4 linked regions of the Nothobranchius furzeri genome follow. The main gene of each other region encodes a partner of the protein of the gene in region 3 in a complex. Links are inferred from orthologs where the notes say so. Each region holds a gene or a part of one and is shown on either strand. Other genes may lie near its edges. The genes, in order: gtf2f1, gtf2e2, gtf2a1 and polr2j.

Region 1 (5,617 bases), on a different chromosome or scaffold from region 3:
TCTGCAGGCTGGACCGGGGACAAAGTCTCTGCAGGCCTGGCCGGGGACATAGTCTCTGCAGGCTGGGCCGGGGACAAAGTCTCTGCAGGCTGGGCCGGGGACAAAGTCTCTGCAGGCTGGACCGGGGACAAAGTCTCTGCAGGTTGGGCCGGGGACATAGTCTCTGCAGGCTGGGCCGGGGACAAAGTCTCTGAAGGCTGGGCCGGGGACAAAGTCTCTGCAGGCTGGACCGGGACAAAGTCTCTAGGACGGACTGGATTGGAGCCTCGTGGAAGGGCTGGACCGGATACGGTGCGACCTCTGGAACCACCACTGGAACTGGAGACAGCGTCGACCACGGGACTGGAGACGACGGAGACGTCGGACCAGAGGGAGCGTCGACCTCTGGAGTGGAGAGAGCGTCGACCTCTGGAGTGGAGAGAGCGTCGACCTCTGGAGTGGAGAGAGCGTCGACCTCTGGAGTGGAGAGAGCGTCGACTTCAAATGAGGTGTCGACTTCAGATGAGACGTCGACTTCGGATGAGGCGTCGACTTCAGATGAGGCGTCGACTTCGGATGAGGCGTCGATTTCGGATGAGGCGTCGACTTCGGATGAGGCGTCGACTTCGGATGAGGCGTCGACTTCGGATGAGGCGTCGACTTCGGATGAGGCGTCGATTTCAGATGAGGTGTCGACTTCAGATGAGGAGTCGACTTCAGATGAGGCGTCGACTTCAGAGGAGGCGTCGACCCTTGGACAGGAAGAGGCATCGACCCTTGGACAGGAAGAGGCGTCGACCTCAGAACAAGAGGAGGCGTCGACTTCAGAACACGAGGAGGCGTTGACTTCAGAACATGAGGAGGCGTCGACTTCAGAACACGAGGAGGCGTCGACTTCAGAACATGAAGAGGCGTCGACCACAGGACAGGACAGGGTGTTGATCACCATCGACTTCTGGTCCGGTTACCCGACACCAACGAAGGCCCCGAGGCACAGTTGTCCTTTTAGTTTCTCACAATAAGAAACCAAGGTTTTTATTCAAAAAGGATGAAAAAAGATTGATCCAGACAGAATCACCCCGACGCAGCGGGTAAAAAACACAGAGCTCAACCGAACTCCCAGCCTTAGAACTCTCGGGCCCCCCTTTTTATCTCTCCGCTTCCCCCTCCTTCTTGTCTCCTGTTCGTCTCCATGGTAACTCTTCCCGCTTCATGAAGCACTCTGTCCGGTCCACTTGTAACTCCTCCCAACATCTTTTCAGGTCAAGAAAGGTTATATCCACAACATGATTCTTTTAACCATATCAGCAGAGTGAAGGCACACCATTAATTTACGACAGCACTGATTAGGAGTCTCCAGCCAGGACACACACACACACACACACACACACACACACACACACACACACACACACACACACACACACACACACACACACACACACACACACACACACACACACACACACACACACACACACAAACATGAGAAGAGGAGGTAACAGGCCTTTAGCTTGGTTTCACACACACACACGGATACACCTTGTAGAGCCTAGAATTGATTTCACATAATGAAAGGTTTGATTGCTGATTAAATGTTGAAATGACTTTCCACAGTACCCGGCCAGCTCTGTTGATGTTAATAAAAATTCTTAAACAAACGCTTACACAACAGACATGTAATTTATGCCCCAATTATTTTGTAATAATCAACTAAAACTGCACAAGGTTGTTGTGAACGGTCATTCACAAAAGTATACATCTGATATCTGCAATATGAGAATCTTGAGAAGGGTTGAAGGCAGACTTTTGCTTTGTTTCTCGTTATTTGTCGCTCAAATGTAGTGGATGCATGTGTGAAAATACGTAATGATATTTATCCTGGTGTGTGTGTATGTACAGTCTATGGTGTACACGCGCATTTGTTTATTTATTTTTACGTGGTTACGTCATAGACAGAAAACGTTAGACCTCACGGCTACCGTAGTGAACGGCTAGGAACTCTCTTGATGGTAAATGTTTCCTACCGGACTCATCGACTGGCGGAACAAATAGCATTCTGGTAAATATTCAGTTCGTTTCTTTACTTACTTACTAACGTGTTGCTTTTGGTGTTTTAAACAAGGTGTCTGAGTAAATATTACTGTTTAGCGCATAGGTGGTTGAGTTATGTTAGTATTAGGCCTGTTTGTTGTTTCGGTTTGATGACGTTTTTTTGATACCGTTTGTTTTAGCAACAGAAGCTAACATTACTCGAGCAAACGTTGTCAAATGTTGCAATGCCTTTTTGTATTTTCAAATTAACCTCTCTGGTGACCTTTTTCACCCCAGAAAAGTGTTTGTCAGAAAAAATTAGTGTTTTTCTCTGTAAAGTTTGGTATTTACAAAGATGATGTCTGTTAGCAACATTCACCTTAAATCATGATCGCCTTCTGCAAAATATCTGAGCCTTTAAGAAAGTTTGTATTGAGCCAGATTTTCACCTGTCAGACTACTGCTTGAGATTTACCGTTGGCCGCTGAATTTAGCACAATTGTTTCATGTAACCTTTTGTGTTTTCATTCTATTTGGGCGTTTTCAGCGTGTCAAATAGACGGCCATGACGTCACTGGTAAGTACATTCCTAATTAGAACCTTTTTTTATATTTAGAATGCTAGAATGCATTATTCTGGTAATCTGACTCATTTTTGTTGAATAAACAAATAAACATTTGTGCTCACGTGTTAATCTCTGGATTACAGTGGTAGAAATTGAAATTTGCAGAGACAAATCGTTGTTTATTTACAGGGGAGCAGCAGTTCTTCAACCACAGAGTACACTGTGAGAGTCCCCAAGTAAGTAACACATGTATTAAACCACATGATGATCGGTGTGTGGATACAGATGGGATTGTTATCCTTTATCTAAAGAGGCCCAGAGTGGAGAAAAGCAAATTAATGTAATGATCTTTTTGTTTGTTCCATAGAAACACCAGCAAGAAGTACAACATAATGGCTTTCAATGCAGGAGACAAAGTAAATTGTTCTGCCTGGACACAGGTGGGTTTCAAGCTTTTGTATGAAAACATTTATTTTCTAAAAATTGGAGAGATATTTACAATCATAATGTTGGAATCGCTTATTTTCTATTTTCACCTTAACTTTTCAGGCTCGTATGGAGAGAGACATGAGCGCTCGGCGGATATACGGGGAGGAGGAGACGCCTGAAAGTGGTGCGGGCAGTGAGTTTGGCAAAAAACAGCGTGAGGAAGCACGACGGAAGAAGTTTGGTATTGTGACCCGTGAGTTCAAAGCTGAGGACCAGCCTTGGATCCTGAAGGTCAATGGCAAAGCTGGCAAAAGGTGAGAAAAGGGGGATGTTTTAGTGAAAATGTCAGTAAATCACAAGTTTCAGAAATGAAGTGTGAATTTTAGACAGAAATTAATTGGTTTGTTTTATTTTATAATCCTAAAAATTGCCTCCAAGTTTGAGTTCATGTCATTCCATCCACTTTTTCCCTTTTTTATAATATGCTACAAATATTATTACTTACATTTTTGTCAACGAAAAGGTAATTATTTTTGTCTTAAATATATACTTTAATTTCTAAAAAAAAATATTTTTACTGTTGGCTAGCAGACTAAACTATTTTCTTTGTTTTTCTGTGTACACAGGTTCAAAGGGGTAAAGAAGGGTGGCGTCACAGAAAATGCTTCCTACTACATTTTCACACAGTGTCCTGATGGGGCGTTTGAAGCCTTTCCTGTTCATGGGTGGTACAACTTTACACCACAGGCAAAACATCGGACGTTGACTGCTGAAGAGGCTGAGGAAGAGTGGGGCAGGTGAGGAAAACAAAAAGGAAGGAACAAACTAATAATTCATCAGCATCTCTTAAAGTTGCATGCTCTGCTGCTGCAGGCGGAACAAGGTGGTAAATCACTTCAGCATCATGCTTCAGAGACGTCTTCGGGAGCAGGATCGTGGCGACGATGAAGAAGATGAGTCAGGAAAATCTGGGAAGAAGAAAAAGAAGGGCGGTGGGAGAGGCGGCGACCTGCTCATTCACGATCTGGAAGACGACCTGGAGATGAGCAGTGATGACAGTGACAGCAGCGTAGGAGAAGGTACAGAGAAGAAAACAGGATGTGGTGTAATTATGATTTTCACATCTTTACTTTTCTAAACTTGAAACATTTTTTTAAACGTGTCAGACGGTGCGAGCAAAGCAAAAACGAAGAAGGCCGCGGGGAAATCGAAAACAAAGAAGAAGCAAAAGGGTGGTGAAAAAGACGCCCTTGAAGACAGTGATGATGGCGATTACGAGGGTCTGGAAGTGGATTATATGTCAGATGAAAGCAGGTGAGATCTTATTACCCTACCACCCCCTCCCCGTTTACCCCATTCCCTTATTAGCTTTAGTTCATGCTAGCATGTTAGCTATGTACTCATGTCCTAGTACTATCCTGCATGTTTTAGATGTTTCTCTGCTCCAGCTTATCAGATTTAGTGTTTGGATTTATTACTTATCATGTCCTACAGAGGTCTGATTCTAGTCAGGTGTTTTAAAGGTACAACATGTTAGAATATTACAGTGAAATAATCACAAAACAGGCTAATGTCTCAATCCTGTCTGAAGGAAAGCTGCACTGAAACATGTCAGATGTGAAGAGGGACATAGTCATCGTTTACAATCTGTCCCGCCGTCATACTTCCTGGTTGCAGAGCCAATCATATGTGAACCTGTAGAGTTGCAAATCTGCCAACGATGCTACACCAGCATTTGTAATTCGACACTAGCAGACAAAAAGCTCCAAAGTTGTGTTGAGAACCAAAGCCAGTTAACAGGAGCAACCCAGAAGTTATTTCTTGTACCCTTAAGAAGCCACAGCATCTTTTTGCTTTACTCTAATATTGGGGGAAAAAAAGGCTAGACGCTAACGTTGAGCTAACAATGCTAACGATGAAATTGACCTACTTGATATTACAGTTAAATGTATTTACCTACTTATCAACTTACTGCATTCGACTCGTCTTAACTCCTCATCTAGAATCTTCTGGTGCTGATCCGTGGCTGACGACAGCTGTTCAGAGCGGACATGTTTGTTATGAAACATGCTGTTCCCGCATGTGACCACAGAATGCTGTTGCTACTTTATGCACTTTAAGTAGAGAAAAGTCTCAAACTTCCACTATTTTCTGGTACAACTATCATTTATGACACAGTGTCATTAGAGATGCACTGATTTTGATAACAAGGCTTGTGTGTGTGTGTGTCTTTCTTTTAGAAATGGTTGTGTGTTCATGTGTTATTTTCTTTCCCAACAGCCCAGATGAAGACCAAGTTAACGAGAAACCCACCAGAGAGGAAGAGCATCCTAAAGGTTGGTGTGAGACGATACTGGTATTCTCCTGCAGGAGTTTTGTTTGTTTCTCATTGAAGTAATTTGTCTGTTTGCAGGAATCGATGAGGAATCAGAGAGCGAGGAAGAGAGCGAAGAGGAGAAGAAGAATGAAGAAGAAGCAAAGGAGGAGGAAGAGGAGGAGGAAGGGAAGAAAACCCCTGTTCAGGTGGAAAAGAAGAAGAAGAAAGGTATGAACTTCACGAGTGATGTTACGACCCCTCCTGTCTGAAAGGAGTAACTCAGAAAATTAAAA
Region 2 (4,891 bases), on a different chromosome or scaffold from region 3:
TTCAGGATGAGGAGCTCAAGTGTTGCTGCTGATAATGAACCTGTCTTCTTGGGTTACAAGTCTTGTTGCTCTTGCTTAAGATCCTAAAACTGTCATGTGAATCAATCAGATTATTTATAAAGCGCTTTTCAAACAAAGTGCTTTACAAAATGACCCCAGATTCCCATAACAGGTTAAAAACATTAACAGACATATGCAAGCACACGCACACACACACACACACACACAGACTCACACACACACACGCACACAAGTAAAAATTATATTAGGCTGAGTCCAGATGAGCCAAGTAAGGTAACGCAAGGAAACGCCATCAGAGGAGCCGTCTGTCCCGGCAGCATCAGGTGTTCCACACTAAGTCAGGGCGCTCAGTGGAGGGGGAGCATAGCCCCCCACCTATAGAGCGGCCAGGAAGCTACAGTCGACCACCGCTCCCGGGGCAGAGGGCCCCCACAGAGGAAGTATTTTTGAAGAATATCAATGCTTAAATTAGGCATTGCCCATTTCTAGATGAAAGCCATCTTCACTCGTATTATTTACGGTACGGCTCCCATCTACCTGAATCCTCTTGCAAAGGCTTATGTCTCGGCCCGGCCGCTCCGGTCATCACAGGATGGTCGGCTAGCAGTGCCTACACCACGCTCAGGACAATCCAGACTCTTCTCATGCATCGTTCCACAAATGTGGAATGACCTTCCAAGCACTACCAGAACTGCGGCTTCCTTTTCAATTTTCAAGAAACTCCTGAAGACCCTGCTCTTCAGAGAGCATCTTCTAAACTAGCACCCTCCCTGCACCCGTCCCCCCTCTCTACCGTCCACTCCTTGTTCCCTCCTCTCCATGACTGATGTCAATGTTGTTGTTGTTATTGTTGTTGTTAGCCTCAAGGGCAACATGCTGATTATCACTTGTAAGTCGCTTTGGACAAAAGCGTCTGCTAAATACATAAACATATTTTTTTGCATTAGGAGTGAGTGATTGGGCAAAAACATATGTCACAATATATGTTGTGACAGTTTTTAATTTTAGATGCCAAACTTGGCGTTTCGTGACCCACAGCAGGGTCCTATTATTTCCATCCTCGTCTGTTTATTTTATTTTGTTATTCAAGGTCAAGTTGTACATCTTATTTCTAACTTTCACAACCGCTGTCATAAATGATGCTGCCCTTCCTTTACTCTGACAGATCGGTAACATGTTCTAACTGTTAACAATCTGGTATCATTTAGATACACGTCTAAAAGAAGTCCGGTTGTCAGAATCAGCCCAAATTCACTTACTGGCCAATTTAAAAAATGAACCTTTTTTCCTTTATTTGGTCCATGAACCAAGCAGAAGTAAAGAATTGAGACACTTTTCTTGTTCTGTATGAGGAAGTACCAATTTACGCAAAAGATTTTTATCTTTTTAAAACTTATTTTTCTAGAATCATATGTTTTTAGGGTAATCAGAATTTAAATGGCAATAATGAAAATTGAAAATGGGTTTCAAAACTAAAATCTGTGCAGTTCTAGCGAATCATCCAGCCTAACTGAAAACATTAACATGATGGCAGTTATTAGACAGAACTGTGTGTGGTTTTAGTTTCTTTCATTAAAGACAAATACAAAGGAAGTACTTCTATTTAGGAACTGTTAGAACGTAAACTACTCGTATAGTAAAATCAGAGTCTAGATAGAAACATATTTTAGGTTTGTGTTGAGAATTTCTTACAGCTGCTCTAACAGATAAAGCAGTGATGCTCATGAAAACACACACATTCTGATGTTTGTTATTCGAGCAGGGAAGAGTGCAGACAGGTCCATGTTTATTTAATCCAGATGTTTTTTATGCAGTTCTAGGCCTCAGGATCTGACCTGACAAATTCAACCCTTTTTTTTTTTTTTTTTTTTGCTAAATATGAGGATTTGGTTCAAGAGATCCAATCAGAGGGGTTGGGTTAGTAAAACATGTTTTTTGCATGTAAGCATTTGTTAAGATTCATCTACTAAATGCTGGAAAACACACTGCCGTAGCTCCAGACTGAAGCCAAGATTATTTCCTTGGATTTTTATACATAATTTAATCAACATTTGGTTCATCCATCCCTGAAAAATAAAGCCACTCACCTGCGTGCCTGGCTCTGTCTTTTGAAGATGCAGGTTAACGGATCACTCCCCTGCTTCTGGCTCTCTGTCTTCCTCTCTCCCTCGCCCACAGTCACGCATCGACCTGTTCTTGGTGCACTCGCGCACTTCCAGTCGTCATCCGTGCGTCCGCTCCCCTTCTTCTCCTCCCTTCTCCTCCATCACCATCACTCTTGCAGCTCTTCATGTCTCCACTGAACACATTGAGCTGATCATTGGCTCTCTACTTTTACCCCACCCCAGCGCCATTCGCTAGTGGCCCTGTCAGGTTTCAGCACCCAGCCCACTGTGCAGCGAACAGCCACAGAGCCCCCACGCCCACAGCATGAATCATTCATGATTCAGTGTCTGTTTCCAGCTTTTATTGGTGAATGCTCAGTCCAGACCTGGCCAACGGAGGAGGGAAGCATGAAAATATTCAGCAGCTCTGTGGTTTCTGTGTTCATGCCGAATGCTTTATGTTCACCACAGTAAATTCTCATGTAATAAACACATTTTCCTTCCTTTTCTCTGCAGAATCCAGTAATGGAAACATCAACATTAAAGCAAGCTCTGGGTACAAGTTTGGCTGCCTGGCCAAAATTGTTAATTACATGAAGGTAACCAACATTTGAAGACAATTTTAGGGACAGAAATCTCTGTTGACACTAGCATCCAATTGAATGTATTGTATGCATTCACAAATGAGACAATGGGAGTGTTTTTGTCTCATAGACTCGGAAAACACCTTCTGCAGAGCTATTAGACTGTCGTCGTGACCTTCAAAGCTCCACCAAAACGTGATTTGTTGTGTATTGTATCAGCTGAATGAGTCAGTCGTGTTCGCTGTGTTAACATTTGGTCTCGAGGCTTTCTTTGGGTACATAAACAGCTTGTTTATCTTGCTGTGGCTCTATCAAATCGCTATCTGACACACACTCCACTTACCACTCTTCTGTGATTGTGGGCACTTTTTGTGCCATCTGCTGAAAGTTTTAAATTGCACACGACATTTTAAAAGTGCAATTGAAGGCTTAACAAATTTTTCAGCTGTCAGTGTTAGGTAAAGAGGAATAAACCCATCTCTCAATTTCCATCATGGATATCATAAAGCTGATAACCATATTTGAAATTCTGCCTTTCTCTCACAGACGAGGCACCAAAATGGGGACACACACTTCCTGACTCTAGAAGAGATCCTGGATGAGACCAAACTTCTTGACATCAGTATGAAGCAGAAACAGTGGCTTATGACCGAGGTGAGCTCCTGACATGATCTCTTCCACTTTTGTTAAATATGTTTAAAACTGAAAAGATGAACTAGGAAAAGAGACTAAAGCTTGTATCTCACTGGGGTGCCACTGGGGGCAACACTTATTTGCTATAAAAATGCAATTTTTTTGTGAAATCATATTTAATTTGTGAGAAAAAAATACATTCATGTTAAATTTTAAAAATGGCTGGGTAACACAGGGCATATTTGCAACTAAATAGTTGTTCCGATAATAGATATGTATTGTAAGTATACAGCTTTGTTCACTCAGTAAAAAGTTGAGCTACTACCTCTTATTATTTTTTGTCTTTTAAACATCAAAGTAAGTACATTTTATTTATATAGCACTCATCACAGAAAGAGAATCACAAAGTGCTTCACGTAGATAAGAAAGAAAATGAGTCATATGGTCATAAAATCATAATGATCAAATCATAATGATTTTAATCAAAACAGAAATAAATTAAAACCAGAAAAAACTAAGTTATAAAGTTATAAAATGATCATAAATATCATAAAACAAATGAAATATGATTATAAGTCTGAATTTAAAAAGAAGACAAAAGTTTTAGGTTAAAGCAGCTTAAAATAAAATAGTCTTCAGCTGTTTTTTAAAAGTTTACCAGACTGAATACTATGGAAGGATAAAGGAAGATCATTCCAAAGTCGGGGGGTGACAGCCTGGAAGGAGCGATCACCTCGACTGGTCTTTGGTACTTCTAGAAGGTTCTGGTTTGTGGACCTGAGCGGTGGGGTTGAAGCAAGGTGGTCAAGGTTTTTTTTGTTAAAACATGTGAAGAGTGTGTTACAGTAATCTAGACGAGAGGAGATAAAGGCATGGATAACTAATTCAAGTTCATGTTTTGACACCAACCTTCACAGTTTGGAGATATTTCTTAAGTGGTGAAAATGTTTCGGACCAATGTTTTTGAGTGGTTTGAGTGGCCTTGAAGAGAAGAAACAACACCCAAATTCCTCAAGTTTAACTTGACATCAGAGGTTAAATGACCAAGTTGTTTACTAGTCAGGGGAACCATGCTCTCACTAGTCAGGGGAACCATGCTCTTGGGGACAATGAGCAGACATTTGGTTTATCCTCATCGGCCCTCTCACTTCTGCCTTGGGGGATACCGCAGGGTTCTATACTGGGACCGTTGCTGTTTCCCATTTATATTCTCCCATTGGGGGACATTCTACAAAAGTTTGGAATTGGATTCCATCTCTTTGCCGACAACTGCCAATTGTACTTACCTCTAGATGGCGCCGGTGATCACACGATAAAGATTTTTGAGATTGTTTGGCAGAAATTAAGATATGGTTGGCAGAAAACTTCCTGTGTCTCAATGGGAAAAAAAACAGAGGCACTGTTGTTTGGACTGAGTGAACATTTAGATTTTTCCAACGTAGACTGCGGTAAACTGAACTCCTGTATGGGTGTTTCAGCAGTCAACCTTGGCGTGAAGATGGACAGTGCATTCTGCATGGATGCTCATGTGGGTACTGTAGTATCCTC
Region 3 (5,640 bases):
GCTACTGAGTGCTCTGACAACCCAAGGCTTAGTAATCTGTTTATTAAAATAGCATGGTCAACGGTATCAAAAGCTTTAGACAGGTCTATGAACAGTGAGGCACAAAACTGTTTCCTATCAAGTGCTACTATAATATCATTTACCACCTTCATAACAGCTGTAGTAGTGCTGTACCCTTTTCTAAAACCCGATTGACATTTCGAGAGGATGTCATTTATAGACAAAAACTCTTTTAGCTGAACACTGACAAGTGACTCCATTATCTTGGAAAGCACACTTAAATTTGATATTGGCCTATAATTTGTCAAAACTGCTGGATCTCCTCCTTTTAATAATGGTAAAACATATGCTGACTTCCACTGTGATGGAATTTCTTTGGAGTTAATTGAAAGATTAAAAAGAATTGAAAGTGGCTCTGCCACATAATCCGCTGCCATCTTTAAAAAATAAGGTTCTATAAAATCAGGTCCAGGTGGCTTTCTGTGATCTATGTTTTTTAAAGCTTTGTGAACTTCATGCACTGTAAAAGGTTTAAAGTTAAAAGGAGCTCCAGAAAAATTTGGGGGTATTATACCAGATTTTATCAAAGGGGTTCCGACAAAATTAAACAGGGAACCCACCGAAAGAAAATGTTCGTTAAAACAATTTAAGATTTCGAGTCTGTTATAAATTGGAACTGAATCTCTAAGAACAAAAGTAGGAAGAGCCTGAGAGATCTTTTCCACAGCAAAAGACTTGATCACTTTCCAGAATCTCTGAGGATCTTTAAGATTTTCTGTGGTGACTGATAGAAAATATTCAGATTTTGCCTTTTTGATCAGGGAAGTACATTTTTTTCTCAGCTGCCTGAAAACAGACCAGTCAGTAGTCAACTCTGTTGTTCTTGCCTTGTTCCAAGCTCTATTTCGTTCATGTATTATGTTTGCCAATTCTGGTGAAAACCAAGGATTTTCACGGCCAAAACATCACATAAAAGTTTGAACAATAAACTTCAGGTCCCACCAGTTCTTGTTAAAGAAGCTGCCAAGATAAAACAATCTTTAAAAAGAAACCTTGGATCAAATCACGTGCAAAATCATTCATGATTGAAAGAGTTATGAGCTCCAGTAATTCTAAAGTGGCCTGGTGCTTTAGTCACTATCCGCTGTTGAAGGTGTGCTGATAGAAGACATCAGCATTGGTGGAGTAATCCATACGGATGGAGGAACCTAAACTCTGAACCCCAAGGCTAGCTCCGCCCAAAGCAGAGGACTGCTGTAAAGTCAGGAGGCTGTAGCCATGGAAACGGTCCTTCAACTTGTCTGATGATGCGGCTTTTTCCAGAACCTCTGTGAACCCTGCAGAAACACATAAAACATGCAGATGAGACTTCATCCAGAGGGTTTCATGGACCGTTATTACCATCAGCGACACAGACCCGGCTTCAGGAGAGACCAGCTCTTCCACACGGAGCCCACACACAGGACTGGCAGGCCGCGCTCACACCTTAATAACGCCTTAAACAACAAAACAGAAGAGAAATGCTCCAGTTTCATACATGCAAAAGTGAAACCAGAAGGCTTGTAGGTGTGGTCACCGGTTGAGCTGCAGGTAAAACTGACTCTACATGTTTAGCCAGAACTCTGCCAACCTGAGCGAACACATGCTGGCTGAGAGCATCCCCAGCCTCCGCACCTGGGACACAAAACACTCAGGATGACACTCTATTGTCCTAGAAACCTGAGCAGAAGTCCTGCTGCTGCTCACCTTCAGCCAGCTTCTTACAGAAGCCAGCAAAGTGGGACTTCTGGAAGTTCCTGCAGAGGTGAGGAAGCATTCCCATCAGATCCAACACCTGGGAGTAATGTTTTAATTATTCTGGGTTTAAAAGAACAGATTTGTCTTTGTGTTGCTGCTGTCTGACCTGGAAGTTCTCCTCCATGGCTTCTGTAACCCATGTGATGTCATAAGGAGGCGCCACCAAGTTGTCTTGAGCGTCAAACACCGTCTTCACGGCCAAACGAGCGATCCAGAAAGCTGAAGAAGAGATATGATTAAGATCACTGTGGTAACCACTGTGCCGTGCTGCGACCATGCTGACCACAGCCCTGCTGCTTCAAGGTCAAGAGCTGAGTCCGGTTGCAGGCCTCCTGCGACCATGCGCGAAGCGTTAAAATATGCCCTTCATGTCTTGGATGAAGACCCATCAAAGACTAACAGAGTTCTTCTCCTCTCTTCTGCAGAACAGAGTGCACATCCTCCTGCACCTGTTGAACCTGCACATGACTCAGTCGCAACGACGAGTCCTCCAAAACTGAAACATGCCCCAACGGTGTGTCCTGTGGCAACTGTGAGGTTTGGTGAGGTTGCTTCCGTTAGCTCTAAACCTCGAGCATCCAATGCACCTGTTAGCAGGTCAGGTAATCCTTACTTACCAGACAAACCTCCACTTAAGTTTTTCTGTGATATCATCCGTAAAGCTCCCAAGGAGAAACCTCACATCCCAGTGAACCTTGTGGGATCGCTTGGCTGTGGGGCTATCCTGGACTCTGGTTCGGACCTCACCATCATGTCCCGTTCTCTCTGGGAGAGTGTCTGCTTGGCTGCGTGCAGCTGAACAGGGTCGTGTCTTAACGCTCAGACCCTGCGCCGTGGATCTCAATCCTTTAACTCCAGATCCAATGGCCTTGTCGTCTGTAGCTTTCCTTGGAGTTTCGGTGGGTGGCATGTCTGCGAGACACCCAGTGTTTGTGTCTGACATTGAGGATTTTCCTTTTCTGTTGGGCGAAGAACTGCTCAAGCGCTTAAAGCGTTTCATTCTACTCGGTGGATAATTGGATAATAACATTTTTATTAGTAAAAAGGCTTGGAGAAAATAATAATAATAATAATAATAATAATAATAATGATATTTAAAATAGAAATACCCTAAACAAATCTATACTGTATTATCCAATTAAAGATTCATATTTTATCAATTTAACAAAATATTCTCACATTTAAAAGCATTAATTATTTCTATATAACTCAATATCAAATTATCAAATACTCCTCCTGGCAGTGAAATCGTATTCTTTAGCGTTAAACTAACTGAACCAATAATAATGCAGAGCACGCTGCATTAAAAAGCCTGGTAAACTTTAATGTCAGGCTTTCCGCTTTAAAACTACATTTCCCAGAAGCAGCCACCCTGATTAGTCATCAAATTCCGCAAAAATCTCGCGAGATTTTCTGTCTGAACCTGCCCTATGTCTCGCGCACTCGCAGCTCCTTCGCTCAGTATATAAAGCAGGACAGCGGCGAGAGGAAGACGGCTGGGGAGTCGCAGCCCGGGACTGTAAATAAGACCGTGAAAACTGTGTTTTATTTACAAAAGTGATGCCGGCTGTTCTAAACGATCTTTCCCAGTTGTTTTAAGTCTTTTTTTGGTCATTTTTGGCTCTGTCTCTCGCCTATTTCCGTGTGGTTTTTACACTACGCGTATAATGGCGAGCTCGGCTAACTCGAACCCAGTGGTAAGGATCAATCTCAACGGACTGCCAGTCGGGGGAAACGGGGGTAAAGTTGTCTAGAGGATGTGGAGGAGATGGGTTTTTTTCAGATGAATATGCTTGAACTAGCTCATCACTCCTGAGTGAAATTATAAAGGAAATACTAACTTTGAATAAGCCATAATTCGAAACTAGATATTCAAATGAAAACATGGCACTGAAGAAGCTTCTGCCGAGGCAAGTTTTGAATGATTTTACATTAAATAATGCTGGTTAAAGTGAAAATTTGTAATTACTTCAGGTTGAGACTTTGTTTAGCGCTAGTGTGATTTATCAGTGGCTGTTACGAGTCTTGGTTTATCATTTGGAGTCAGTGTTTGATCTTAGTGCCGTTCATTTAGCCCAGGGTGGATTATTGGACGAATTTGTTAGCCAGCTGACGTATTTGAGCTTAAATATTGGAAACCGCACATCTAATCAACAGACGTACCCAAAGCACATCGTCAACATCCACTTCCAAGTAAATTCAACTAGAGGATCTGATATTAAAAAGCCATTTTAGCGCAAAGTCTTGGACGCAGTCCGCGGCGCTGCCTCGTCGTGGTCCACCATTCCAGGACCAGAGGCGCAGAAAAGCGTCCCGAAACCCATTTTTGACCCATGATATCTCCGATGTCCTGCTCCCAAAACAAAGCCACCGAGTCAAAACTGGCAATTAAACGCATAAAACGAGAGCCTCTTTCTTTATTTGGCCTCATTTCGCTGAAAGAAAACGGCTCTGTGAGCGGGGCCGCTCCGTAAAATGGCTTCCACCTCTCCCGTCTCGCTCGGTTCTGGCCCTCCTCCCTGCCGGTGGCTGGCTTTATACCGCCATATTGGCTGTCTAATATAGACTGCTGGGATGGGACGGTGCTACACGACGCTACGTCACCGGCCCGCATATAAACACTTCACTGAGCTTTAATTTGTGGAGGAACCGACTGTCCGAGGGGGAGGGAAGGACGCACCGAGGTGTCCACCGCGGACATCGAGGCAGGGCGGTATCTTGGCTGGAAAGTCTCCGCAGACTTGAACGCTACGGTTGAGCTAGTAACGCAGTCCCGGCGGACATCTATGTAATTGTTTATGTTGACAGACGCGGTTGTGGATAAGATCCGGATGCTGAAGCACAGTTTGGATTATAATGGAGCTGTGAAACATTAATCTTGATTTATGCCAGGGGCGTATCTGAGATTTTTCAGGGTACGGGGCCCATCAAGGGGCCACAAAATTTATAGAAGAGCCAAGTATTAGTTCAGTGCCCTTAGGACAGGATTGCTTTATTTGTCATTGAACCAGCGTCTTGGTGCGATGAAATGTAGTTTCAGTACAACCTCTCCAAGATCAGACCGGTAATGCAAATATGTAAAAATAAGTAAGTGTGTGTGTGTGTGTGTGTGTGTGTGTGTGTGTGTGTGTGTGTGTGTGTGTGTGTGTGTGTGTGTGTGTGTGTGTCCGGTTTTAAAGTACTTTAAAGGTACAATATTAAGGGATTTTACAGTCAAATAATCATGTTGGAAAGAAGGTAACATTGACACAAATTTCATCCTCATGAAGTTAAAGATGTCATGAGCCGGACAGGAAGTGACAAGTGCGTCTGGTATATTTCAAAATAAAACCTGTGTCACATTATTTTTGCTGGCTTTTGTTTTATTATTGATGGCAGGGATATTAGTTTAGTGTATGATAGTTCATTAGTGTCGTTACAGGTGTGCCTTTAAATGTATTGTGTAGGACTTCCGCAAATGACGAATCGTGTCATGCCTAAAAGTGGCTTACTGCACCAGATGCTGTAAAATACCCATCATTAAGTTTGAAATGTGATAAGTTATGTGGCATTTAATAAAGACAAGATGATAGGTTATCAATAAACTTATAATTTACTTTGTAACCTGTTAAAACAAATGCTACACAGTAGGGTTGCAAATGTATCACCGCGATGTCAGTATGTGCAACACGCATATCGACAATAATGGAAATAAATCACAACGAAAGGTCAGCACAAATGTTTGTTAAACATAATGCATTTTGTCAAACGGAAGCATGATGTTTTAGACAAATCACACAAAGCTCTTCACCCATTTGGCCAATCGGGTCGGTTCTCATAGGTTATATGCCCACCTCGAAGGTG
Region 4 (5,040 bases), on a different chromosome or scaffold from region 3:
CTGTCATCACTGCAGGGACAGCCTATAATGAAAGCAATGGATTTGTTTTGACACTGGGGAGCTGAAAGCATCATGACCCCTCCACAGTTATCCACATTAGAGGTGGCTTGTTCTTCTTGAGGTTCCGCCTCCATCTCAGGTGTGCGGGGGTCCTCTCGGTTCTGTTCCTCAGTGGGTGCTTTCACCTGGGAGAGGAGGCCCCTCTGTGAGAGCTCCTCTTCCAGGCTGAAGTACCCATTGTCCTGCTCAGGGGAGGGATGCCCCCCCTCACTGCAGCTCCCTATGTTCTGGACTGTATGAAGGCCTCCATTGTTGGCTGGTTCTTTGTGGTGGGGGGGTCCAGCGTTTTCTCCCTTCGTCACCTCCAACACTGAGCTCTTTTCAGCAACATGTGTCTGGGCTGCAGCCTGAGGACAAAGATAGTATGTCTCTGCCCCCTCCTCAGGCCGGTAATATCCCGACAGCAGCCCCCTGGCTGGGCTCTCCTCGCCCCACAGAATGCTACCCCTCCACCATGGTCCACCTTTACCTGTGGAGCCCCCCATTACCGGGAAGCTCCCTGGCACACACACCTTTCCTCCGATGTGTTCCTGAGAGATCAACTGAACCTGGGTAAAAAAAGTCCCGACAGAGGAAACATATACGCTCGGTATTTGCTGGCAGAGCTCCATCTCCCCGGGGCTCTGACAGTCCCGCAGAGACGCAGCGGACCTGCTGACCCATGACTCCAGCAGGCCGGTTGCCCCCTCGTGCTGACACTGCAGGTGGGTCAGGTGAGCAGGTGCGGACTGGCTGAGGGGCATCATGCCATTTAACTGTCTTAAAGTCTCACTTTCTTCACTCATCAAGCTGCTTCTGAGCTCCGCCGGAGCGATGTTCCACTGGCGGAGTTTCCGCCGCAGCAACAGCGCGGGCCTTGACAGCAGACGGATCCACGAGCTGTCCTGGCTATCCTGTCCGACCGATGTGACCGCGGGGCCGGGTGGGTGGGACGAGCGTTTTCCTCCACACGTACATTCTTCGGCGTTTATGTTTCTGAACATTTTATCTACTTAAAGTGCACAAATGAATTTCCCTGAAACAGCAGCGGTTTTAGCAAGTTACACTGACAGCTGTCAAACCTCACTAGAACATGTTAAAGTGGCCGCCAGGAACCCAAAAGATAACGTCCATAAGCCCGGAGCCGGCGACATTCCGCTGAGAGTGGTGGTTAGACTTCCTCCGTGTGGTACCGGAGCTGGAAAACTGAGCCGAGCTGAACATGCTAGAGCCGTGAAACGATGATAAGTCCCAATGTGAAGCGGAAAAACGAGCCATCCTGTCGGGGCTTATCGCGGGTGGGAGGTTCTGCTGGGTTAGCAGGTTAGCTTAGCACGAGAAGCAAACGGCGGTTAGTTTACTTCCCAGCGACGACTTAAAATTATCGATTTAAATTCCGCTTTCTGGTTGGTTTCGTCGACTGTTGATGGAAGGGAGTTCTTCCCACCGGTAATACTGCCCGGTATCCGTTCAGAGAGGAGTTTTGGCCCCCGCACAACTCCGTGAGTCTGTCTATATGGCTGCAGTGGGAGATTTCATCAGAAAGTCAGAAGACCATCAGCAGAAGCCCCGCGTCTTCCTTTTCCGGGTAAACGGCAGACGGTTGGCGGCGCGGCACGGAGCGGCACGAACGCGCGGCAGAAGCGGAGGCGCGGAAAGTTTCTCCAGTTCTTTTTCAGAGGGAGCCATTTTTTATTTTACTCTCGATGCACTCCTACACGAATCTCATTAATATAAAGTAATTATTTATGCTATAGGAGGAAAAAATAGGACATGGCGTCACACGCTGTAAAGGTATAGCTCCTCTGAGTCATGGGTGCATTGAGGAGACCAGATGGTAACACCACCTTAAGGTGACATCTGGTACCATCAGGGGTGCCATGGGCAGCGTTTTGGCTAATCACCTGGTAAATTGCAGAAAAGCAGAGAGTGACACTGAAACGTGTGTTTCTGGTTAAAATGAACTGTGTTTGATGTATTTTGTTCAGGTCCTAGCTTTTATTAAACAAAAAAATGCTGCAAATTTTACATGAACCGTGTTTAGGTCAAACATGTATTATCCTAATATTGTGAAAGTAAACATTTTCTACGTGCTGCAAATTTCTATTATTGATTTAAATATGCAGTTTCGCTTATCGTGCTGCAGGTGGCGGTAATGCCACACAAAGCTGATTTCCTAACAGTCTTTAAACCAGACAAAGAAAGCTGAGCGGAAGTATCCTAGTGGTTCGGTTCGGGGTTCTTTGCTCCAGCACAAACATGAACGCACCTCCAGCCTTCGAGTCGTTTCTGCTCTTTGAAGGAGAGAAAAAGATCGGCATCAGTAAAGATACCAAGGTCCCGAACGCGTGTTTGTTCACTCTGAACAAGGAAGACCACACACTGGGGAACATCATCCGAGCGTAAGACACACACACACACACACACTCTGAGGAACATCATCCGAGCGTAAAACACACACACACATACACACACACACTGAGGAACATCATCCGAGCGTAAAACACACACACACACAGGGGAACATCATCTGAGCGTAAGACACACACACACACACACACACACACACACACACACACACACACACACACACACACACACACACGCACGCACGCACACACACACACACACACACACACAGGGGAACATCATCCGGGCGTAAGACACGCACACACACACACACACACACACACACACTGGGGAACATCATCCGGGCGTAAGACACACGCACTGGGGAACATCATCTGGGCGTAAGACACACACACACTGGGGCACATCATCTGGACGTAAAACACACACACACACACACTGGAGAACATCATCTGAGCTCAAGGACACAATTTGATATTGGAAAGAAAAAAAAACCTGACAGCAGCCGGCCTTCGCCTGTGGGAGGAGCTCTGACACAGGTGTCCTGTCTGGTGGCCCCTAATTGTGTGTTTTTGTGTGTCAGTCAGCTGCTGAAGGATCCTCAGGTTCTGTTCGCGGGTTACAAAGTTCCTCATCCTCTTGAGCACAAGATCGTCATCCGAGTGCAGACCACACCTGACTACAGTCCACAGGTAACCCATCAGGTCTTCAACACCAAATAAAGTAAAGATGGCTGTAGGGACTTCACCAGAGAAGTGAAGGAATGTGTGCATGCATATATATATATATATATATTTTTTTTTTTATATATATATTTTATTTAGGGTCCGTCGTATTGTCGAACCTCAGATTCAGGAGGACGAATGTGGTTTTCATCCTGATCGTGGAACACTGGGCCAGCTTTGTACCCTTAGGGGGGTCCTGGAGGGTGCGTTAGAGTTCACCCAGCCAATCTAAATGTGTTTGTGGATTTGGAGAAGGTGTTCGACTGTGTTCCTCAGGGGGCCCTGTGGGGGGTAGTCCAGGAGCATGGGGTACCAGGCCCTCTGACACGGGCTGTTAGGTCCCTGTATGACCGGTGTCGGAGCTTTGGTCCGCATTGCCGGCAGGACGCAAACCAACAGGAGTCAAGATGGTGTAAGCTGTGTTCTTAAACAAGATCATTTCTCATTGGTTTAGATAGAGGGGTTGGGGCATAAAACCTCTACTGGAGCCAGCCTCTGGAGGCTTTTCAGATCTTTCAGCTTCAACTTCTGCACTGTCCTCCAGCTGGTCTTTATACATGTTGGTGGTCTAAGCCTCATGATGCTGTTGGACCCAAGTGGGTCTGGATTTGTTTCTCATATGTTTTGTGTCTTGATTGGTTGAGACACAATAATGATAGAAATTGGAAACCTAACCAAATGTGATGTCATTTCCTCCACAGGAAGCATTCACCAATGCCATCACAGATCTGATCAGTGAGCTGTCTCTGCTGGAAGAACGCTTCAGAGTTGCCATCAAAGACAAACAGGAAGGCATCGAGTGACCCTGACCTCTGACCTCACCTCATTTTGTTGTTTTGTTTTTCTAAATAAACTTAAGATGTCAGATTCTGTGTTTAGTCAATACCTTTTACAAGTATTTCGACAAAATTGCCAAACACTATTAAAAATAGGGTTTGGAACTAGATCTGATCCCACTCAGATGTCCAAAGGAACAGCTGGTATGGAAATCTTCACCTGTTAATTCTAGCATTGATCAGCTGATCTTCAGGAAGTGATGTCACCTCTAAGAATTTAAACTATATCAAACAAAACAAAATAGTTGTCAATCAGATTTAATTGAATATTCTTTTAAAAGAAAAGCAGTAAAAAATAAAAAAAATCTGATTTTGTGATGTCACATGCCGTGTGGCCCCTGATCATGTGACCATCAGGGGTCAGAGTCTCTCTGAGCCTCCATGGCTCGCTGCATCTTCTCCACCATCCACGGAGGAACGGAGAACGGCTTCAACTCGTCCATCCTGACATCCGGACAGTCCCTAAAAGGGATGCAAGTTACCACGGCAACCACACACATCTCACCAGCTATCAACTACATCATCAGAACAACAAATGCTAGAATAAGGTCAATAAAACTGGTAGCTGGTTCTGTTCTAGTGATTAAACTGTTTTCTGCAGCTGGATCCAGAAGTTTGTGTTTCAGGTTGGATACTAACTTGTACTCATCGCTGTGAGACAAATCCTGGATGTCCTCTTCAATCAGAAGGTAAGCCTGCCGGTATGCACACACACACACACAATTGTTAAATAGGTTTTAAACTACCCATGATGCACTGCCACACAAACTTCATCTGATGACTGATTCAGGCGATCACCTGCAGTGATCAGGTCAGCAGCTAAAAGTGGGTGTGGCCATTTGACTGACGTGCGTGTGCAGATTCTCACCATCTTTCCTCCTGTTGCCCTCATGTGATGTCTCTCTGCCAACCACTGCTTATCCTTAGAATCTGCTGCATACTGAAACACACACACTTTTTTTTTTTTACTAATCACAGGAAACAGTCCCCTGACCCTTACTAGGTCCAGCAGACACCTGATGTCAGGAGTTACCTTGAACAGGTCAGCGTGTTTAATATAGATCCGTCCT

The links.
Region 1: gtf2a1 (region 3) and gtf2f1 share a complex: the UniProt entries of both Homo sapiens proteins name them as parts of the TBP-based Pol II pre-initiation complex. The link is inferred for Nothobranchius furzeri from reciprocal best matches to the Homo sapiens genes GTF2A1 and GTF2F1.
Region 2: gtf2a1 (region 3) and gtf2e2 share a complex: the UniProt entries of both Homo sapiens proteins name them as parts of the TBP-based Pol II pre-initiation complex. The link is inferred for Nothobranchius furzeri from reciprocal best matches to the Homo sapiens genes GTF2A1 and GTF2E2.
Region 4: gtf2a1 (region 3) and polr2j share a complex: the UniProt entries of both Homo sapiens proteins name them as parts of the TBP-based Pol II pre-initiation complex. The link is inferred for Nothobranchius furzeri from reciprocal best matches to the Homo sapiens genes GTF2A1 and POLR2J.

The regions. Positions count from the first base shown.
Region 1 is NC_091752.1:52,162,032-52,167,648, reverse strand, and holds the start of gtf2f1 (general transcription factor IIF subunit 1), read left to right. Parts: upstream 1-1,950; 5' UTR 1,951-2,041; intron 2,042-2,560; 5' UTR 2,561-2,578; coding exon 2,579-2,590; intron 2,591-2,767; coding exon 2,768-2,814; intron 2,815-2,945; coding exon 2,946-3,018; intron 3,019-3,127; coding exon 3,128-3,321; intron 3,322-3,633; coding exon 3,634-3,804; intron 3,805-3,880; coding exon 3,881-4,086; intron 4,087-4,173; coding exon 4,174-4,321; intron 4,322-5,287; coding exon 5,288-5,343; intron 5,344-5,420; coding exon 5,421-5,552; intron 5,553-5,617. UniProt on the Homo sapiens protein: TFIIF is a general transcription initiation factor that binds to RNA polymerase II and helps to recruit it to the initiation complex in collaboration with TFIIB. It promotes transcription elongation.
Region 2 is NC_091747.1:77,634,449-77,639,339, forward strand, and holds part of gtf2e2 (transcription initiation factor IIE subunit beta), read left to right. Parts: intron 1-2,108; exon of another isoform or gene 2,109-2,249; intron 2,250-2,642; coding exon 2,643-2,725; intron 2,726-3,256; coding exon 3,257-3,364; intron 3,365-4,891. UniProt on the Homo sapiens protein: Recruits TFIIH to the initiation complex and stimulates the RNA polymerase II C-terminal domain kinase and DNA-dependent ATPase activities of TFIIH. Both TFIIH and TFIIE are required for promoter clearance by RNA polymerase.
Region 3 is NC_091742.1:19,636,594-19,642,233, forward strand, and holds the start of gtf2a1 (transcription initiation factor IIA subunit 1), read left to right. Parts: upstream 1-2,486; 5' UTR 2,487-3,464; coding exon 3,465-3,494; intron 3,495-3,960; exon of another isoform or gene 3,961-4,076; intron 4,077-4,733; exon of another isoform or gene 4,734-4,861; intron 4,862-5,640. Other genes in the region: N-acetyl-D-glucosamine kinase, read right to left, coding at 1,138-1,337, 1,418-1,496, 1,577-1,674, 1,747-1,834, 1,904-2,074. UniProt on the Homo sapiens protein: TFIIA is a component of the transcription machinery of RNA polymerase II and plays an important role in transcriptional activation. TFIIA in a complex with TBP mediates transcriptional activity.
Region 4 is NC_091743.1:77,207,653-77,212,692, reverse strand, and holds polr2j (DNA-directed RNA polymerase II subunit RPB11-a), read left to right. Parts: upstream 1-2,080; 5' UTR 2,081-2,298; coding exon 2,299-2,441; intron 2,442-2,992; coding exon 2,993-3,101; intron 3,102-3,835; coding exon 3,836-3,937; 3' UTR 3,938-3,999; downstream 4,000-5,040. Other genes in the region: protein phosphatase 1 regulatory subunit 15B, read right to left, coding at 1-1,043; deoxynucleotidyltransferase terminal-interacting protein 1, read right to left, coding at 4,324-4,432, 4,610-4,665, 4,839-4,910, 5,004-5,040. UniProt on the Homo sapiens protein: Core component of RNA polymerase II (Pol II), a DNA-dependent RNA polymerase which synthesizes mRNA precursors and many functional non-coding RNAs using the four ribonucleoside triphosphates as substrates.